Styela clava: one gene and its partner. Each later gene encodes a partner of the first gene's protein in a complex. Links are inferred from orthologs where the notes say so. Each region holds a gene or a part of one and is shown on either strand. Other genes may lie near its edges.

The links. The genes of interacting proteins can lie anywhere in the genome.
Region 2: general transcription factor IIF subunit 1-like (region 1) and DNA-directed RNA polymerase II subunit RPB11-a share a complex: the UniProt entries of both Homo sapiens proteins name them as parts of the TBP-based Pol II pre-initiation complex. The link is inferred for Styela clava from reciprocal best matches to the Homo sapiens genes GTF2F1 and POLR2J.

Annotation. Positions count from the first base shown.
Region 1 is NC_135256.1:18,128,585-18,135,530, reverse strand, and holds the start of general transcription factor IIF subunit 1-like, read right to left. Parts: upstream 3,036-6,946; coding exon 2,805-3,035; intron 2,064-2,804; coding exon 1,947-2,063; intron 996-1,946; coding exon 876-995; intron 135-875; coding exon 1-134. UniProt on the Homo sapiens protein: TFIIF is a general transcription initiation factor that binds to RNA polymerase II and helps to recruit it to the initiation complex in collaboration with TFIIB. It promotes transcription elongation.
Region 2 is NC_135253.1:16,308,783-16,314,785, reverse strand, and holds DNA-directed RNA polymerase II subunit RPB11-a, read left to right. Parts: upstream 1-4,575; 5' UTR 4,576-4,590; coding exon 4,591-4,944; 3' UTR 4,945-5,473; downstream 5,474-6,003. Other genes in the region: zinc finger protein 277-like, read left to right, coding at 1,850-4,054. UniProt on the Homo sapiens protein: Core component of RNA polymerase II (Pol II), a DNA-dependent RNA polymerase which synthesizes mRNA precursors and many functional non-coding RNAs using the four ribonucleoside triphosphates as substrates.

The sequences.
Region 1 (6,946 bases):
AAATTATACCATGACTCGACTGGATAAGCCTCGAATGTAGAATTTGGTCGTTGCATGAAAACATAATACATCGAACTATCTCCTATTCCACCTTCTTTCTTACCGTCAAAATCTTTTGTGACCGATATCATTTTCTGCAACAAATAATATCACATGTTGATCCAAAAAAACACAATTTCAATATCATAAAAATGGAGATGATTGATTTATCACTTGAACTCCTTCCTGTTTGTATGGTTGTACCCAAAAGTTTCAGTACTCTAGAACGCTTTGCACATATTCTGTCTAGAATATGTTCCAAATGACTTGGGTTCTGTTTTTCTGGGTCCTTTTGTACTTATTATTAAAATTCAATTACAAGCCCCAAACAAGCTAACCTAGTTGAGCGAAAGTAATAATGAGACAGTATTGTTATGTAAAAGAACTATTGGCTTACCTATTTTTCAACCCAGAGTTTCCTCTTTTCACCTACACTAAGTTTATCTCATTATTGAGTAAATACAGAAATGAAAGTTAATCCAACGAGATTTATGCAACAAAAAATGAATTCAGAAAGTTGTTTCATTACCCATATAAAAAGATTGAAAATTCACATGTATTAAAATTAAACAACCCGTGCTTTATAACAAGTTATAGGTATCAGGTTCGAACTAACTAGTTGAAGCATAATACTACCAAGTTCCAAATAGCAATCATTTCAACTCTGGTCACTCACAACTCTTCGACTAGACTGAGTTAGTTGTTGGCTCAATACCTCAATACCCTGTTCTGTTCTGATGATATTTGTATAAAAATAAAGAGCCTTGTTTGGAGCAAACATAAAATTTTAATAAATTTTGAGCGGTTGAATGAAATATCTATTATTGCAGTCATACCTCTTTGTTTTTATTTTTGGGGGAATACGGTGCTTTAGCAGTTGTGGTGACAGAAAGTTGCCATGGTTGATCTTCTACTTTAAATTTTGATACCCTCATCCCATATTTGAGTTTACGAGCCTGAAATATTAGCAACATCAAAAATATGATAAAATTTAATAGCGTGAACCACATTTTGGAACGATTAGGTCGTTGAACACAATGCTTGGAATATGAATGATGTTTAGTATGTCAAAACACTACTTCCATATTTTAAGCTATACATTTTTGATTGTAGTTCTTTCTTTCAAATATTTAATAATCGTATTATAAAATTTTGTTAAATTCTGTGCTTAGTAGTTGGGAGTATTTGTGTGATTATGATGATATCCAGCAATCCAGGTTTATATTTTATTTCGCCCACAACTGTGGAGTCAGATTTGAGAGTTTGAGCTTGGCATAGTCGGGAGAAAAAGTCAAAATTTGGAATCCTCTGGAGCTGTAAGTCGAAATTTCATACTTACAGTAAATATTTAATAATAATAGTCAAATTCAAAACTTTTTTTGTAAACTCAAAAAGCATCAAGTTTGCTGAGCATTCTTAACAGCCTGTAAGCGAGGCATGCATATGCCAATGCTTTTGTTTTCAAAATTTGGTTTTGTTCCAGTTCCAGAGTCGAAATTTTTTATGATCTAGAGTTGAGAGACAAAACTGTAAGTTAGAGGAGTCAAAAGTCAAAATCTGGTTCAAATTTTTCACAAGTCGGGAGTCGATTGTAAATTTCCTCGATTCCACAGGCCTTGTTTAGCATAGTACTCTAATTTGGGGGCTCCCGAAGTATGCGAACCAAGATGGCGGACATCGGAATGTAATATGTGTACTATGTTAGAGTTAGGCCATAATTTTAGGTATAAATACTACGGGAGGCTCTTGGCTAGTCTTCGAACTGATAATAGGACTAAAATAAGGAAAATTGGAAAAAAATTATCGCCTAACCCTAACCTGTTACCCATGTTACGTTCCGATGTCCGCCATCTTGGTTCGCATACTTCGGGAGCACCCTAATTTGAGTAAAAAATAAAAATTATTACTTGCTCTTTTTGCTTCCTTCCATATTCGCTTCCAGCTCCAAACTCGGGATAAACCTCTTCTTCTTGAAAAATCTTTTTTCCTCTCATATTTCTCGATATCCGGGCACCGGTCCATTTCTGAAAAAGAATGGAGAAACTGTCGTTAATATTAAATTTACATCGGTGGATAGAGTTATTAGCTAGAACTAGAAGTTAAAAGGTTGTTTAACAAAGTACCCTACGAATAAATATTCAAGACAGCCCAATTTCTTACAACTGAGTTTGTAGCCAAATAGTGACATTTGAGAAAATTTTCTTTTCAGCATCAACTAGTACATTTCATTGAAGCATCATAGTGGATGTGATGGCCTAATGATTGATGGAAAACTGGAGCAATACTGACACCACTGGGTTCAAAATCAATATTCAGCACCTCAACTCTGGTAGGATACATTGAGTAAGTAGTGGAAAATCAGAAAGATTTCCATTCGTTAAAAATATTAGCTTCCCATTTATCAATAGCTGCTTGTAGAACTTTATTCTTGGAGTGGAGGGTAGTACAAGTCTCGTGAAAAATCAGTTTTATTATAACAAAGTAATCAACTCAATTGGTTGAAATTATCCAACAGAGTGGTATTTACAGGGTGAACCCCCCAAAAACAGAATCCAAAAACCTTCTCAAAAATTAAAACTTGAACCTTTGCTTATGATGGTACACATAATTTTCAGTAATCTAGGATGATTTACACGAAGGTTGTGTTTTTTTGGAATATGTTCCAAATGACCTGGGTTCCGTTATTTGGGTCATCCTGTATAAATAAACACTTCCAACCTCAAGCTGGCATAAAAAATATTATGACAATGTTATAAATATTGTACCTGTATATCCATATTGTCACCTCCTCCAAACCTCATGACATTATACTTTTTTGTTGTATTTTTTGGAACTTTAACAATGTATTCATCAAAATGTCCTTGACCAGGAGTACTGGGAGTGGCCATGTTAAATATTTTAAAGGATAGTTTTCTGCAAAGCGAAGATATTGAACACACAAAATTACAGATATAATTTGAAAATATTGTATTCATTAATACTAACATAAAATTCATTGCTAACACTTGAACTTAAAAGAATGTGATTGCATATTAATAATAATCTCATACATGAGCTTAATTCAACACACTAATACAGAAGCAATAACACTCAAGTATTGATAACAGCAGCACTTCTAGAGGTAAAATGTATGATGCAGCATATTTTTAATTTCTACCTTTAGGCATAAGAATTTGAGAAATTACATTTCAATAGTATTATGCTTTACAAAAATGCACCAGAGTAAATTATAATTCGAGCCCACGATTTAGAACATTTGGTAACTCGTCTAGAGTATAATACTTGTGGGTAATGTCTTTCGACTTTACATTGACGACTCTCAATCCAGATTTATCTTCACCAAGTTGGGCACCTATTGCAGAATTTACAACACTTTCTATTGTCAGGTTCGTTCCATTTACCACATTAGACCACTTTCCACCAGAATTTCTATGATAATGACCACTGAAGACAATTTTAACTCCAGCCTCCATGAATTCGTCTAGAAGATCCATTCTTAATGATCGTGGTATATTGAAATAATCATCATCTTCATCTCCATGTTTCGAGAATATAGGAATGTGCATAAGAATGACAATATTATCAAGGTCTTCATCGGATTTTGCCTGTTGAAGCTCATTTTTAAGCCAATCCGATTGTGCTTGTGCCAGATCTTGTACTTCTGATGAATCATAAAAGTATTGACTGTTAAGTGCAATGTAGAGAACACCTCCACAATAAAATTTATAATAATCATCTCCCCATATCTGTTTAAACTCTTCTATTGAATTTCTGGTGGGTGTGTTTAGTAAGTCATGATTTCCACTGATAACCATTGTAGGAATCTGCATATTTGCAAGGCTTTCATTAACGTCATCAATCTGCTGTTGCCTATAAGGTTCGACTCCTGGAAAGGCATTAACTAAATCCCCACTAATGAAGAAGAATTTTGGTTTATTTTGAATGTCATCAATATCTGATACAGCTTTATTTAAGCGTCGAATATCTTCTACCCAAACAGTACCATCTCCCCCAGTAATCTGGTCAATAAGGCCAGGTTGAGGATCTGCTCCTTGTATGAACGTGTATGGAGCAGTCCATTTACCTTGATCCGATTTGGTGAATCCGGCCACCTCACGATTTTTTGCTTTCAAAAGCTGGCTGTTACTTTGTTGCAAAACACATGCAAGTACAGTCAAATATAACTGATGAACCAATTTCATCATCTTGGTCGCTATAAAATCAAGTGAGTGTCAAGTACTAAAATAATGAAGCCTACAGTCTTCAATCTGTCAATTGCCAAACTGAACATAAAACTGTAAAAGTATTACTGTATTGTAGTGCCTGATGAGAACTATGCCAGAACAGGTTGAACATTGTGAAAATGAAGTTATGTCAATTATTTTAGCATTTTTTACGACTTTCACGATAATAGGAGAAGTCTAGTGGTTCTAATACCGGGCTGTGGTCATGTTAGATATTTTATAAGATAGTTTTCTGCAAAGCAAGAAAAGCAAAGATAGTGAACACCCAAAATTACAGATATAATTTGGAAATATTGCATTCATTGTTACTAACATAACACTTGAACTTGAAAAGAATTATAAACTTAGGTGATTGCATATTAATAATAATCTCATACATAAGGTTAGTTCAACACAACAATACAATATAATTTGGAAATATTGCATCCTTGATACTAACATAAAATAAAATTCATTGCTAACACTTGAACTGGAAAAGAATTATAAACTAACGTGATTGCACATTGATAATAATCTCATACATAAAGTTAATTCAACACACCAATACAATATAATTTAAAATATTGCATTCATTGATACTAACATAAAATAAAATTCATTGCTAACACTTGAACTTGAAATGAATTATAAACTAACGTGATTGCACATTGATAATAATCTCATTCATAAAGTTAATTCAACACACCAATACAATATAATTTAAAATATTGCATTTATTGATACTAACATAAAATAAAATTCATTGCTAACACTTGAACTTGAAAAAAATTATAAGCTAACATGATTGCACATCAATAATAATCTCATACATAAGCTTAATTCAACACACCAATACTAAAGCAATTTAACACTTGAGTATTAATAACAGCAGAATTCAGGTAAAACGTATATTGCAGAATATTTTTAGTTTCTACCTATAGGCATAAGAATTCAAGAAAGTACAATTCAATAGTATTATGGTGATTGCTTTAGAATTCAAGTATAATTCAAGCCCATGATTTAAAGCATCTGGTAATTCGTCTAGCGTGTAATACTTGTGAGTAATGTCCTTCGACTCTACGTTGACAACTCTCAATCCAGATTTATCTTCACCAAGTTGGGCACCTATTGCAGAATTCACAACACTTTCTATTGTCAGGTTCGTTCCATTTACCACATTAGACCACTTTCCACCAGCATTTCTATGATAATGACCACTGAAGACAATTTTAACTCCAGCCTCCATGAATTTGTCAAGAAGATCCATTCTCAATGATCGAGGTATATTGAAATAAGCATCATCATCTTCATCTCCATGTTTCAAGAATAAAGGAATGTGCATGAGAATGACTATATTATCAAGGTCTTCATCCAATTTGGCCTGTTGAAGCTCATTTTGAAGCCAATCCGATTGAGCTTGTGCTAGATCTTGTACTTCTGATGAATCATAAAAGTATTGACTGTTAAGTGCAATGTAGAGAACACCTCCACAATAAAATTTATAATAATCATCTCCCCATATCTGTTTAAACTCTTCTATCGAATTTCTAGTGGGTGTATTCAGTATGTCATGATTTCCACTGATAACCAAAGTAGGTATCTGCAAATCTGCAAGGCTTTCATTAACGTCATCAATCTGCTGTTGCCTATAAGGTTCAACTCCTGGAAAGGCATCAACTAGATCCCCACTAATGAAGAAGAACTTTGGTTTATCCTTAATATCATTAATATCTGATACAGCTTCATTCAAGCGTCGAATATCTTCTGCCCAAACAGTACCATTACCCCCAGAAATCGTGTCAATAAGGCCAGGTTGAGGATCTGTTCCTTGTATGAACGTGTATGGAGCAATCCATTTATCTTGATCCGATTTGGTGAATCCGGCCACCTCACGATTTTTTGCTTTCAAAAGCTGGCTGTTACTTTGTTGCAAAAGACATGCAATTACAGTCAAATATAACTGATGAACTAATTTCATATTAATCACTACAAAATCAGGCACCAAAATAATAGAAAAACCTTCAAAAAAGTTTAAAACATGAGTATGATCATGTGCCCGCTCAAAAGCACAAACACAAAAAAACATAAACCTGCTGTACTTCTAAAACACTTAGATACCGTAAGCGATGAAATGCAATGTGATAAAGTGACAATACAGTTAACGTTAGTCAAAAGCCAGAACTGCAGCAAGCCATGAAAATCGAAAAAGGATTGAGCATTGCTAAAATCTAAAATAAAGTCTGAAAGTGGTTAGGGAAATTTCAGTGTAAATTTATGGGATTTCGATAAAGGAGTTGTCATACAATAATAGTAAAACACTGTTAGTTATCGTGTATCCAGTATACACTAAAAAAATAGTTAAGGTATTCAAGGCGCATGTGCGAATAAAACAACTCTGCACCTGCAGACTTTAGGACTTGTGGTACTACCATAGTTTACTTACGGTAGTATAGTTCGCTCAAGCCTTTTTCGTCTTTGTTTATTTATGTTACACAGTTCTCTCGATACGATTGAGTGATGCGTCACTATACTGTATTCTCTCAACGCGATATTTTAATATTATGCTGGTTTAGCTGTCAATAATGTTTTTGCAGATTCAGACGACGAGTTGGAATAAATGAATGAGCTTTTTTATGATCTGTTTACATTTTCCAAAACGTGGTCAACTTTTCCATGTACTGTAC
Region 2 (6,003 bases), on another chromosome or scaffold:
GAAAGTATGTTGCTTTATCCAAAAAATACGTGAATGGAAAATGAATGAAAAGTTTTAAAATGTAAGTCTAAAAAAAAATTGTCTGCGATTCCACGCAATTGATGCATCCATAATTATACTCAAAAATACATATTCATGTAAAATTTGACCAATACCACACTTGATCAAGTGTGCAACATGTCCGAAATTCTATTTAACTTTAAACGCCTATATGTTATTGCCTATTCGCCCTATTGTGTATACGCGAATATTTTAGTAATTTTTCTTTCTTTCCGTGGAAATTTAATGTTGTTTTTGGACACACCTAAAATATGTTAAAACATATCTGAAGCATTTTTTATTCATGTTTATTGATATTAATGTTGGGTGGTAACTAGGGCTGGGCATTTTCGAATACCTGATGATTTCAGAATCGAATCGTATAATTTTTTCGAATCGAATCTCGAATACTTGAAAGGTATGAAATTGTATGTAACTTTCTTATTATTTTAGGTCCTCCAGACACATAAATTACTGGAAACATAGAATACATCCCTGACAATAAAAAAAAAAACGTTTCCATCAATACCTCAATACAGAAAAGAGTCATATGTCAGAATTGTGTTGAAAAAATATGGCTTCAATGAATTGAGAAATTTACCTCGACCATTGGCGGCAAGAGTAAAACAAGATTGCGGCGATTCGAAAATTTACTATTCGATTCGAAATGCCCAGCCCCAGTGGTAACAGACTCCGATGACCGCATGGTCGTATCGTTGCCACCCAGTCTATACCGAGAACTGTTTCGCTTTTTATTAATCATGTTTTTGTTGTGTATATGTTTTCTGGTGGACAAAACAAATAAACTCTCCCTCTACGCCCCTCTTGTGGAGCGCGCTTCACCGTTTGTCCAGAGCCATTATACAATGGCTCTGGTTTGACAACCACTGGTCTATACGAATCGCTTGTTATCCGGCGATATATCCATGTGCAGCTTTGCCCCACCGTTGCTCCATTATATCCACGAATTAAAACTACTCGGACTAGTATTAATACCTCATGAAAAGCTGCAGTATCTTGTAATATGTCTGAATCACCTCTTATAACATATAGAAATAAACTCGTAACTCGGTCCAACAAATAATTTACTTGAACAAATTGAAAAAGAACACCATGACTGCTCAATTGAAATTCATTGGCTTAAAGTTAATAACCCCGCCTCTAATATAGTATTTTGGGCACTCTCGTAGTGTGTGTACCAGGTTGGGGGTTAGGCCATAATTTACACAACTTGATGTAAAGTCGGCGAATAAGTTACCTCCATATTGGTACACACACTTCTGGAGCGCCGTATTTCATTCCATAGAAATAAAACTTACGTAGCCTACACTCTACAGCCCTACAATATTGCGCTCCCACGGCAGACTAGAATCATACAGGGAATAAACAGCCCGAAAGTTTAATATATTTGCGTATTTTTTCCAAGTCTCGTTTAACCGTAAATATATACTAATACGGTTTAATTCAACTAGGTTTGTGATTTTAACGTGTGTGTGCTGGTGAGCGGACACATGATATTTCTCGTTTTTTTTAAATTGTTTTGAGGGTTGTGCTCGCTTTCCAAAATTCGCCATTTTAAATTTGCGTGTAATTTCTATCTATGTGATTCGACAATCGTCATATTTTCGTTTCCCGGGGTATGTACGCAATCATGAAAACTTTTCCTATTTTGATAACAGCAAGGTAAATGACCTTGTAAATGGAATATATGTCGAATGTAACAACTACACATAGGTTTATAAATGGTTCATGTTTCAAATTATCAATACTGAATATATAAAATTGTGTATGATTAACTTTATTTATTCAAATGGAAAAAAAGTCATTGAGAAATCAGCGTTCGCTGACTTCGCTCGTTGGGTACGACGCAGACAGAAGAAATTCAGGAATCCGCTTGGTTGACCGCAATTTATCTCGATTGAGTGCGGCTGTGTCCAAAGCCCGTATACCGGTATTAGTTGTGTCTGCATTGACTCCTCTCGTTATGTCAATCGTGCCAAGTGAAGCTTCTGTGGAGGAGGATTTGCCTGATATAAATTTCAATATCCAGCTTGTTGAAAGTTCGAACAAAAGGGAAGACAAACGTCACCTTCCCGAAAATAAACAGGACAACGAAGATGGTAATTTATCGCAACGTGCTGAGGTGGAAGTTACGAAATGGAACGAGCCACAAGAACTCAGAACAGGCTCATCTGGCGCTGAAAATATCACGCCTGACAATTTATGTATAGATCGTGACGAAAGCGCTAAAATATCATCGCATTTAGACTTGAACACTTCTACACACCTGACAAATGTCGTTCGTGATAAATACCAAGACAACATGAAAAAAACTGAGTCGGGAGTTACAGAAGAATTGAAGAAAAATAATTGTAAAGTGAAGGAACTTGGAGATAGTTCGGAAATTTTTGATAATGTTGCAAATAACAATGCCAAGAAACATGTAGAAGATATCAATATTGAAAATGAACATGAAGGTATTCCACAAAGACAATCAAATGTAGATGATATTGAACTTGTAGATGTCACCAATGCCACTTTATTTAGTGAACGTATTTGTGACAAGGCAGAGAATGGTAATGAAAGCCTTAAATTGCTTAGTAAAAGTGATGAAAAAGAGACTCAAGATGAAGAAGAAAATTCAATACTCGAACAGAAGTTGAGAGAAAATATGAATGATAATTTAGCAAGGGATTGTATATTGGAACCTTTGTCATTTCCGGAAAAAGCATCCTTGCTTAATCAAATCACATCAGGTGAGGAAAAATTTCATCTTGTTTTCGAGACAGACTGTAGTCCCGAGGATACTCCTTGCGTACTATGTGCAAATGTTTATAAGGACATTGATCAAAAGTCACAATATGATGAATATTTATGCCATCTTGTGGTGGAACATAAATTGGTTATTGCAGATGTAAAACTTATTGCAAATTTAAGAGAATACGCAATATATTGGAAAAAGCGCTTCACTGAAAAACCGATTGAAGAATTTTGTGCTTCTATTAATACAAATATGAGCCCTAAAGATGTTGGTGAGAGTGAAAAATATTATTTATTATGTGATGCATTACCTGAAGATAGAAAAGTTCGCGAAGCACTACAACTCAAAAGATTAAAAGATCTCATTGAAGTACAAACAAAAGAACGTGAAAATGAAGAATTTGAAAGAATGTGCTTATTTTGTACAAAATTATTTATTGGAAATCGTAATGAGCTATTCAACCATATGAATGAAGATCACAATTTCAATGTTGGACATCCTCACAATTTGATATATGTTGAAGATTTTCTCGATGAGATTGAGAAAAAGTTGAGTAGTCTTGAGTGTCTCTTTTGTGACAAAGTATTCAAGGATCGTGCCTCATTACGAGAACATATGAGAAAAAAGTCTCACCGTCGACTGAATCCAAAGAATAAACTTTACGATAAATACTACATTATAAACTATCTTGAACTTGGTAAAAATTGGGAAGTTTTGCAAAGTGAGCCAGATCAGTTGGAAGGGAATGATGATTGGACTGGTTGGGAAGATGAAGGACAAACCGCAGTTTGTTTTTTCTGCACATCTTCATTCAATACACAAGATCGTGTTTTCGAGCATATGAAAAGAGTTCATGGATTCGATTTTCCTGAAATGCGCATGACAATGAACCTGAGCTTCTATCAACAAGTTAAGATGGTTAATTACATAAGACGTACAGTCCATCAGTTACGACAAAGAGAGAAACAAGAAAAGATTGACAACGTCGAGAATGATTCGGATAGTTCTCTTACATTAATTGATGCAATCACTAAAAGTGTAAAGGACTGTATATTGTCATCAACCAAATGGAATCAGCCTCAGTATTATTTTCCAACATATGAAAATGATACTTTACTATGTCAGCTTGAAGATAAAGAAGGCCTGTATGAACCTGAAGATAATTTCATTATTGGAGAAGATGGGATTGACTGTAAAGCAATAATTAATGAGAGCGTTCTTACTGATTTGGTTGTGAGGGGTTATTTTGACTGATTTTTTTTTCCTGACGTTTTTGATCATGAATTTTCGTGTTTTCAAATCTTTATTTTTTTCTTTTGTATATGCATTTTTTGGTTTTTACTACTTTATTGCATATTTTTTGGGGGGATTGTTTAAAAATTTCCATTGGTGCTATTTTTGACTGACATACTTTTGGTTTTTTTCGGACTCTTACATGCGTTTTGGGCTCGCCGATGTTTGAACTGCTTATTGTAAATTCGTAATTTGTATATTTTCTGTAAATTTGCCAAGTCACTGTCTTGTAAAATTGCCAAAATGTAGAATAAATACATTTATCATTACATTCTAGGTATAATTGAACTGAAGGTATGATACAGTATTTACTGAATACAACGCTCACCTGTAACTTTCATCATTATTTTTTTTGTGAGAGCATTTGACCTTGCGTAGAGCAAATTTCTTTAAAAAAAAGTTACATTCACTCATCTTTACAATGCACCTTTGTTTTAAAGATTTGGTGTCATTTCCTTTCAGATTTGTAGATAGCTTATAATATCTGTCTTTATGAAATGAATGCTCCACCAGCATTTGAAGCTTTTTTACTTTTTGATGGAGAAAAGAAAATCCAAATAACCAAGGACACGAAAGTGCCAAATGCTGCACATTTTACAATTAATAAAGAAGACCACACACTTGGAAATCTGCTCAGGATGCAATTGTTAAAAGATCCGAAAGTACTCTTCGCTGGATATAAAATACCTCATCCTCTCGAATCGAAATTCATTTTGCGAGTGCAAACAACAGCAGACTACACACCACAAGAAGCATTCACTAATGCTATTACAGATCTTATTAGTGAAATTTCATTACTTGAGGAACGATTCAAGGTTGCAGTGAGAGAAAAACAAGAGGGTATTGAATAAGTTGATTGTAGCAATGTACAACCTCTTGCAACGGCTTCGTTAAGTACCCTTATATGCAAGTTATTTTGCATTTTCTGCTGACAGCAGGTACTGCTGCACCTGACTGTGATATTGGATTAGAGCTAGTCTGGAATTTTTACCCATCCAAATTAAAGATTGACATGACTGTATGTTTTAAGTGCCAACTATCCAAAACACTCTCAAAATAGGCATTAAAAATTTTGCTATAGCAAAGAGTGGGGAAAATTTCTCAGGGGTCAAAGGTCGGGAAACATCCAACAATTTACTCATCTCGACTGAGCACGTATGGGTTTGTGTATACTGGTGTTACCATATTTTACACTGCAGTTTATGAGTTGCTTGTTAAATCCTGTCTACCTACATAAGTGGATGCCTAGCAATAACAATCTTTCGTTGAATATTGATGGTCACTACGCACTGGGCTTCATCACCTACCAAATAATATTCTGCCAACAAGTTTACTATATCAATTTAGAATATATTGCTTTTAATAAAGACATGGAATACACTTGATTGTATTAATGAAAAATCAATAGTTAGTAAAGTGAAAATTACAATTACTAGGTTCTACAGTGGAATCTAAAATGTCATGAGTACAATATGCTTGTTGTGGTAGTATAGAAAAATGTCATGCAATAACAGTAAAGAGCAAATAAAAAAAAAACATTGTGAAGGCCTGTCTGTTCCCAGGGATGCCAAGAATGTTTTGAATTGGGAAGATATTTATTACAAATAGCAAATGGTTAAAATATGAAGTGGGGTTTATGATATGTTCTGGGTTAGGATAATATTTTTTTAAAAGTTTAGAGCAGTGGCCTGCAAACTGCTACACCTGCAAACAAATTTTTTTTTTGTAGCTCTCTAACAAATTCACTTGTAATTCATAAAAAAGTTGCTCACAAATTTATTATTTGCTCATGGATATATGTCGTAACACGGAGTTTGTTTTGTAGTAATTATCCAATAGCCCTACTGTTTAGTTGAAATTAATACAGAAATAGAAGTCGCAGGTGATTGTGTATTGGCGGAAATTTGTGT